2 linked regions of the Lepisosteus oculatus genome follow. The protein of the gene in region 1 interacts with the protein of each later gene in a biochemical or structural test. Links are inferred from orthologs where the notes say so. Each region holds a gene or a part of one and is shown in the gene's direction. Other genes may lie near its edges.

Region 1 (3,754 bases):
GATCTGTGGCATGCTTTGTGCCAGGGGGCAGGGCTGTCTTCCCAGACCATCACAGTTGGGCCTGCCTGTCGATGCCGGTCAGGGGCCTTGATAACACCTGACAAGTGATGAGGTGGTGGTTTAGTCCAGCCTGTACCAGACCGAGGGCACAACGTCGGTTTTTGCTTGATGAGGGGCCATGTCATTTTTGTGTTTTTTCTTGAATTTCCTCAGGCTTGGCGTTCAACAGATCAAATGACCTCATCGCCTGTACCTGTATAGCTCCTCGCTAAATAGATGATTTAGTGCTTGTACAATAGTCAGGTCTTAAAAGTATGTGTCATTGTCAGTCATAGACCTGAACAATTCTGACCAATTGAACACCAAATGCATTTCTTAATAGGTTGTTTGTCATCTGACCCTGTTTGTACTCCACTGGTTCAACACAAGGCTGTGATCTTTCTCCCTCCTTTTCATCTTACTGTATATACTGATGACTGTCAAAGAAACTGAAAATAATCAAAGCAACAGGTTTGCTGATGTTAGTGTATTAGTCTCTTTGCTCTCAGTGGCTGGACAAACATGTGGAGCCATTCTGGATGAAATTGTCTGTTGGTGTGATGATACTTCTTACCTTGAGATGAATATGTCAAAAACAAAGCAATATAATTCCCACAACAATCCACTGGTATAGTTACTGTGACACATATCTGGGAATTGTGTTTGACAGCCATTCAAGTTCACTGAAATGCAGTGCTTATATAGTCTGAGAAAATAAGTTCTGATGGAATTGGAAAGTATCCTAGTATATAGCATTTTATGGGTCTTTAATGGAAAATATTTAACTTACTATTGTTCATTTTTTTAATTGTTATATTTCTTGGTTTGCTTCACACATTCAAAAAGAAAAAATACTTTCTAAATGTCATAAATCTCAGCCCATAAATGATTGGTGAGCTTTTAAGGCTGCTTTATGCCAAGCAGATCCTGAGGAAGGCCTGTGCTGTCATTGAAACCACATCTAATTTCTTCATCAGTTTTTTTTTACTTTATTTTTCTACAAATATTGATGCATTCCTAGAGGGGCAACATTCTTTTGGCGCTTAGTATACTGTCAAGAATATAACTTATTTTTGTGTTTAATTTTTAAAGGAGTAACTTTATTATTTGGACAAAATATTTGATGTTTCTAATAATGTTATAATAATACCCTTCTTGTTTATTTGCTAAACCCAGTACTGTAACTACACGTCTCCGTTTTGTCAACCCCTATTGCAATACACAAACTGTATCCATGCCTCTGCAGCTACAGCTCGACACCTCGAAATGTATTCGGTTCTCCTCGTAAACCCTCCGGAAAGAGCCGAATTCAGTCGGCCATGTTGGATGATGAAGGCGGTTCTGGCCACGATTCCCGGCGAGTAACTCCCCCACTGCAGCGCGGGAAACTCAGCTGTTCGGCCACTGCGGATCACAGTGAGCGGAGTGCTTGTCAGTCTGGTAAGTTTGGCATCTTTTCTTTTTACTTTTTTTAAACGCGTTTTAAATATACTGAACCGTGCATAGGGAAAGTACAGGTGTACACACACACACATATATATATTTCGCCACTCAAGAGCCGGTTGGGACAAAAAAACTTTTAGAATGTAACTGTTTACGTCTCACTAGTCACTTCAGAAACAACCGGTCAAATACAGAGTGAATATGATTTAAATAAGAAACGTGACCTTCTGAAAGCTTTTGAAAAACTTGTTTTAATTTTCCAAACTTTTGCGTGTCGTATTTTCACTGATCAGTTTTTTTTTGTTTTGAGTTTTTTTTTTTTAGGACTGTACATCTCATATAGCGAGATAATGCTGTGAATAACAGGCCGAACATCTATCTGCAGTGCTCATAGCAGGGTCTGTTTGTGTGAAAGAGAGTATGTTTCCTGTAAGGTTTTGAAGTTATCGGTCGCTGAACGTATCAAAATCCCTCACCGTGCTCGGTTTGCTGTAAAAGTGGCTGCTTCTCTGAACTGTGGACAGGTTATCTGTGACATAATGGGAGATCACAGCCTCTCTTCTTCTGCTGGAGTTGTATTTGATTTCTTGGCAAATGTCTCAACCACTTATTGTTGCTATTGTAGTGCTGTATTTTAGTATTCACTTGTACGGACTGACACAATTATTGCATTTACCATTTTTTTTCTTTTTTTTCCCAGGTATGGGTTGTTAGGAAGTAGTGACACACAAATTAGAATCCCATTGGACTATGTTTTTGCGAATTATTTAGGCCTTAGTAACTAGTACCTGACCGTAGAAGGCTTTTAAACTACCTATCCCTTATCCTTCTTTTAAACCACATCAATTCAAACAGAGTATTCAGAAATTCAGCAACAGAGCAGTAAGCCTGTTGCGCTGTAGAAATTGAGTAGTTTATTAATACATTTTCATTTTCATGTCAGGTTGTCTTTGAAAAACAGCATCTTTGAGTTCATTAGCCTCACCAGCTCCATACACAAAATGTAATTTGTGCTTAAGAGTAACAGAAGCAGCTTGTCTCGTCTCCAGCTGGCAGACACTTATAATGAAAGCTTATTTGGGCTCAGTCTCTTGGAAGGTGAGACAATGGAGAAGGCAGGTTTTTGCCACGGGTTCCCTTTTGCTAGGAATTAAAGCACCCCAACTGTTTTGTCACAGCCAACCTGGGATCAGCAGAGTGCACCAAGCTGCTTAATCCGTCAGCTTGTGCTTTACTCCTTAAAAAAAAGCAAGGTTCAGTGTGGAGTGTTGCCAGATTAAAACTGTCTGCAACGCCATAGCAACACATCTGCATAATTCTGTGTTAAGTGCAGTGCCTAACACAGGACAGCAGCGACATGGTCAGGTGTCTGACCATCTCCCTGCTCTGGGTTTCAAGTCTGCAGGGGGAGGAGGTCTGAAGCGCGACTGGTTCTTCTGCATCGCCACCTGTGCTCACCGCAGCTTGTCTTATAGGTGCGGTCCAGGATGAAAGTCATCACTTGTGAAATAGCCTGGCACAACAAGGAACCAGTGTACAGCATTGACTTCCAGCATGGCGGAGATCGGAAAGTCAACAGGCTGGCCACCGCAGGAGTGGACACTACTGTTCGGGCAAGTGACCCGTAGACCAGTGCTCTTTCACTTCCCCAAGAGGGGGAGCTGCTGGAGAGGTTGTGTGATGCGGGGCAGCTAGTTTAGGAATCTCTTTTGTTCAAGGTGGTGTAGAGAGGTTTTGTGTTATGAGGGAGCGGAGGTATCGTGTAGCTATGCAGTTATTGGGCTTTTTGTGCTTTCAGTTTACCAGAATGTTAGCTTGGAACTAGAAATTCCTTTGGCAGCCTAATTGTACTCGGTGGACAGGGGAAGAACTATGGGTTGATCAGAGACTAGTGGCCCACTTTAATTCTGCGTGGGTTCAAATAAATAAAAGCATCAAGAAAATGACATTTTGGTCTGCAGCTCTAGTACTTTTGACATTGTTCTCATTTTACACCAGCCTTGTATGTCGCCAGTTTGTACTCTTGAATGTCCTCCTTGTATAGTTGTCCCTGTTTGTACTTTCCCGTTATAGCTCCACACAGTTTGCTGCCATGTTTAATACCTGTCCGGGTCTTGGTATTATAATAGTGTGGTTCTTTATTCTGTGCACTTATTTGCATCAATACTGTTTGAATGGGAAAGTGCAAGTTAAAATAAAGGGTGGAGGTTTGTTTTAGGTTGCTTTTGTATCATGTGCTACAGTATATGATTTCACAGTGTTCCCACATCTT
Region 2 (3,754 bases), on another chromosome or scaffold:
ATTCTAGTCCAACAATTCCTTGGTCCAACAATGATCCATTGGTCCAATTAATCACCATTTTAGTGTCTTTACTTTGACAGTGATGACACATTGTGCTCTAACTCATTCTTTTTAATATAGGGTTTTGTCATTCCAAGCACACATTTGTCCATGGTTTTGGGGGGTGCCTAGTAGCTTCTCTATCACTGTTGTATTTAGAGTTCAGGGTTCAAGTCCACATTTTAATACTTTCATAATAACTAATACTTTCATTTTAAGGCAAAAAACATTTTTTCCACAATAATTATGATATATGACACTATTGTCACTGCCATAGGATCTAGCTATATATTGATGAGGGGTATCATCATTACCTGCTATGAAAGTAAATGTAGGTACTCATTGTATCATGGACTTTGGATATATATTCACCCATTTTTGCCATTTTCTCTCATAGTTGTTCAACAGATATTGGCTTAGAGCAGACCAACTAATTATTAGAATCTTGTCTGTAAATGGGTGAGCCCTGTGGTGTGTGCTATGGGTCAACAATTTATAGCCATTTTATAATCGACCAATAATGGGAACAATAGTCATTTTAGAGCATTTTCTGCACCAGAAACATTGCAAACGATACGATTCAGAGATGCGGGAATGGTATTTTGGATTTACCTGCTCTGCCGGTGCATGCAAAAAGAGTTTTGGTCTAACAAGTGCCTAATTACCTAATTAAGATGTTCACATCCTACACAGTTATGGTATCACTGTTACTGTAAAGGGATTTTAAAGTCTGTATTAGCAGTTCTTCCATTAGCCTGTTCCTTGAGGGAAGGGAAGAAAAATCATTAGATAGTATACAGCAACAACTGCGAAGTTTACGGGCTAAAAAAACAGCCTTTTTTAAAACTATTATTGTGAGAGAAGTAGTTCTTAAAGTGAAAGATAGGTTTGGTTGTGTTCAAGCTGAGCAAAGGAAAAACAATGTTTCGGGAAAATGTGCATGCATCACTTATTTAACCAGCAGGTGGCGCCCACAATAAAAGTTACAAATAATTTACTGTACTGTGTGTGCAAAAAGATCCAAATCCTCCGCCTTCCCAAGGATCATCTGCTGGGCTGAAGGCTGCTCTCGCAGCTCTGAGCTGTGCAGCCGGTCATGTACAATTTAATGTCACCCGTAGGCACAGAAAAACGGAGATATTCGGTATTTGACGGCGTTACTTCTATTTAAAAAACTGGATTACTAGTTGGCTGCGCTGTGCGATACTTAGTATTTGACGTGGGTGGCGTGTTTACTAGAAAGCGCCGTGTTTTGTAGCGCTGACTCCGCACTTAATAGTTTTCGTGTAGCAAAATATGGCAAAGGTTCAGGTGAACAATGTAGTAGTGTTGGATAACCCATCTCCCTTTTTCAATCCTTTTCAGTTTGAGATTACTTTCGAGTGCATTGAAGATTTGCCCGAAGGTAAGTAAGTGTACTTCTGTTTCAAAACTGTAAATTGCTAAGAAGGTAGAGAGAAAACAATTGATTGGAGGTTGCGAGGCCTGGATTTGCTAATAAATATGTAACAGTTTTGTAATTAACAATTGTGCATAACGGAGTACTAGTAAGTGGTGTTTATTTTTATTTTCAAATGACTCTAACGCGGATATCTAGAAATTCTGTAATGGAATGTATTCTATCACCGAGGGGTCGCGTTATCATTGACTCAGGTAATCGATTTATTTAGGCTCTGTATTACGGATAAGGTAGCCATGTTGTCAGGAATATTCTAGTTGTTGGACAGTATGGTATGAGTGCATTTAAAAATATGTATTTTTCTTTTGTATAATAAAAGCAAAGTGACAGTAGACCCACTGACAATCGTAGTTAGCTAGATGTATGGAGAGCATGACCACGTCTAATTATAGAAGTTTTTGTTTTTACAAATAAAGCGTGTAACTAAAAACATTAAAATAAAATTATTTGAATATAAACTTGCGAAAAATGAATCTGTTAAAACTATCTTGGTTAATGTATGAAGTGCTCAATCATGTTTCGCCACAGGAAGGAAGTAGGCTGTAACTATAACTAGCATCAATCCTTGGCTAGGCTCCTACCAGGATTGATGCTAGTTATAGCCAATAATCCGTATTCTGTCTAAATTGGCTGTGTATATTTATAGTTACTATAATCTTTATGCGTCCGATGGAAAGCTTAGTTTTATCACGCTTTTGGTGTAAGTGGAATTTTTCAATTTGTCAGATAGGATTCCTTAATCGCCATGCCAATTAACACAGTTTTAAACTTTTTTGTATGTAAGAGTACAAAAACAATAATACAGTAAAAGTTAGTCGCCCCACGTTTTTGAAGTAATATTATTCTCTATCATCGTTTTTCGCTGTAATTGGCGTGGGTGAAGTCAGTGCGGCGGGTTACAGTATGTGTCAAATCGCGAGCGGGGCAGCATTTTTTTTCTGTGGGGAAAAATATTTCCTTTGAACATTTTTTCCACCTCGTTATATTTATTCACCGTTGGCGTGGGCAGTCGCATTGAGAGTGTTTTAAATGTCACTTTGCTTATACTTTAGGCTAATACGGAATTTGTAGCACCCATTATGGATAGTCTAATAATATTTCTTAGTACTGATTAATGGTAAACAGCGACACATTCACAGTCCCTTCATTTAAATGAAAGCTAGAAGTGTTTGAACCAGACATTGTTATGTAACCTCCAAAATGTACCCTTTCTCAGCAAAAGTTACAATACGTTACAATAATGTGTATCTACCAGAGGGTCGTCTTAAAATTCCATGTTATGCGAGATGATTGGTTAATGACACAAACCACTATGATTTTCTGAGACGATAGAAATCTTGTGAGTACTGTATTTGCGTGTGTGTTTGAGAAAACCAGCCTTATACTTTAAGGTCATAGGCTTAGTCTTATGCTTTCCAATCAGGGGACTGATGAATACCTTAAGAGGTTATCAATAGCTTGTTGGCAATCCCACAATCCAGAAGTATTAAAACTATTTTCACATCTCTTAGGTTTATTTGCATGCTTACTTGCAGTAAATTTTATAGGTGCTTTCCAGTGCCTTAGGTGCTGAAAGCAGCCAACTGCTTTTCATAATTTGGAAATTAGAACTAAGGTGGTGTCAAAGAGAGAAAGAAATACATTTATCTGTTTACCTTTAATGCAACCAGTTGGCCAGTGTACCTAGGTCTCACTTTATCTTGTATCTTGTTTCAAAATACAATTAGTTTTTAACAAGATATTGCATAATTACAGACCTCAGAAATAGATGTTGAAAATAATGGATGGTTCAAAGTGATAATCATTGCTAGAAATGACTTGCTGTCCTCTAGTGTGGTGAGTAGTCCTTTGTTCTGTTGTCTGTCGACAGTAGATTATGGGCATTAAACTGTATTGTAAAGCTTTTTTGTCTACATAGCAACACTTTGAAACATAAAAAAGCTCTTTGCTTTAAAAGTAGATAAAGATGGAGAGAACAATATCAGTTTTTCCCATTGGTGATTTCCTGGGAGGGTGTTGTCACACAATGCCATTCACAGACGTGACAGTGCATGTTCACAAGTCATCTGTCAGGCATGATAATGGGGCCCCAAACCACGAAGGAGGTTGATCATGAATTTGTCTTACAGTATTGTTGACATGAGCTTTATCGAGACCTTATGGGATAAGCTGCACTGCCATTTTCATAACTTTTTTTTCCCTCCAAAACAAGCTTCAGTTTACCAGATTTCCAGAGTGAGAAACTGGGACATTTGA

Evidence for each region. The genes of interacting proteins can lie anywhere in the genome.
Region 2: the proteins of chaf1b (region 1) and histone chaperone ASF1 form a complex in vitro, tested with the Homo sapiens proteins (2 studies listed by BioGRID and IntAct). The link is inferred for Lepisosteus oculatus from reciprocal best matches to the Homo sapiens genes CHAF1B and ASF1A.

Annotation. Positions count from the first base shown.
Region 1 is NC_090710.1:18,474,417-18,478,170, forward strand, and holds the start of chaf1b (chromatin assembly factor 1 subunit B), read left to right. Parts: upstream 1-1,376; 5' UTR 1,377-1,479; intron 1,480-2,957; 5' UTR 2,958-2,969; coding exon 2,970-3,095; intron 3,096-3,754. UniProt on the Homo sapiens protein: Acts as a component of the histone chaperone complex chromatin assembly factor 1 (CAF-1), which assembles histone octamers onto DNA during replication and repair.
Region 2 is NC_090704.1:23,424,620-23,428,373, forward strand, and holds the start of histone chaperone ASF1, read left to right. Parts: upstream 1-1,049; 5' UTR 1,050-1,135; coding exon of another isoform or gene 1,136-1,183; 5' UTR 1,184-1,335; coding exon 1,336-1,444; intron 1,445-3,754. UniProt on the Homo sapiens protein: Histone chaperone that facilitates histone deposition and histone exchange and removal during nucleosome assembly and disassembly.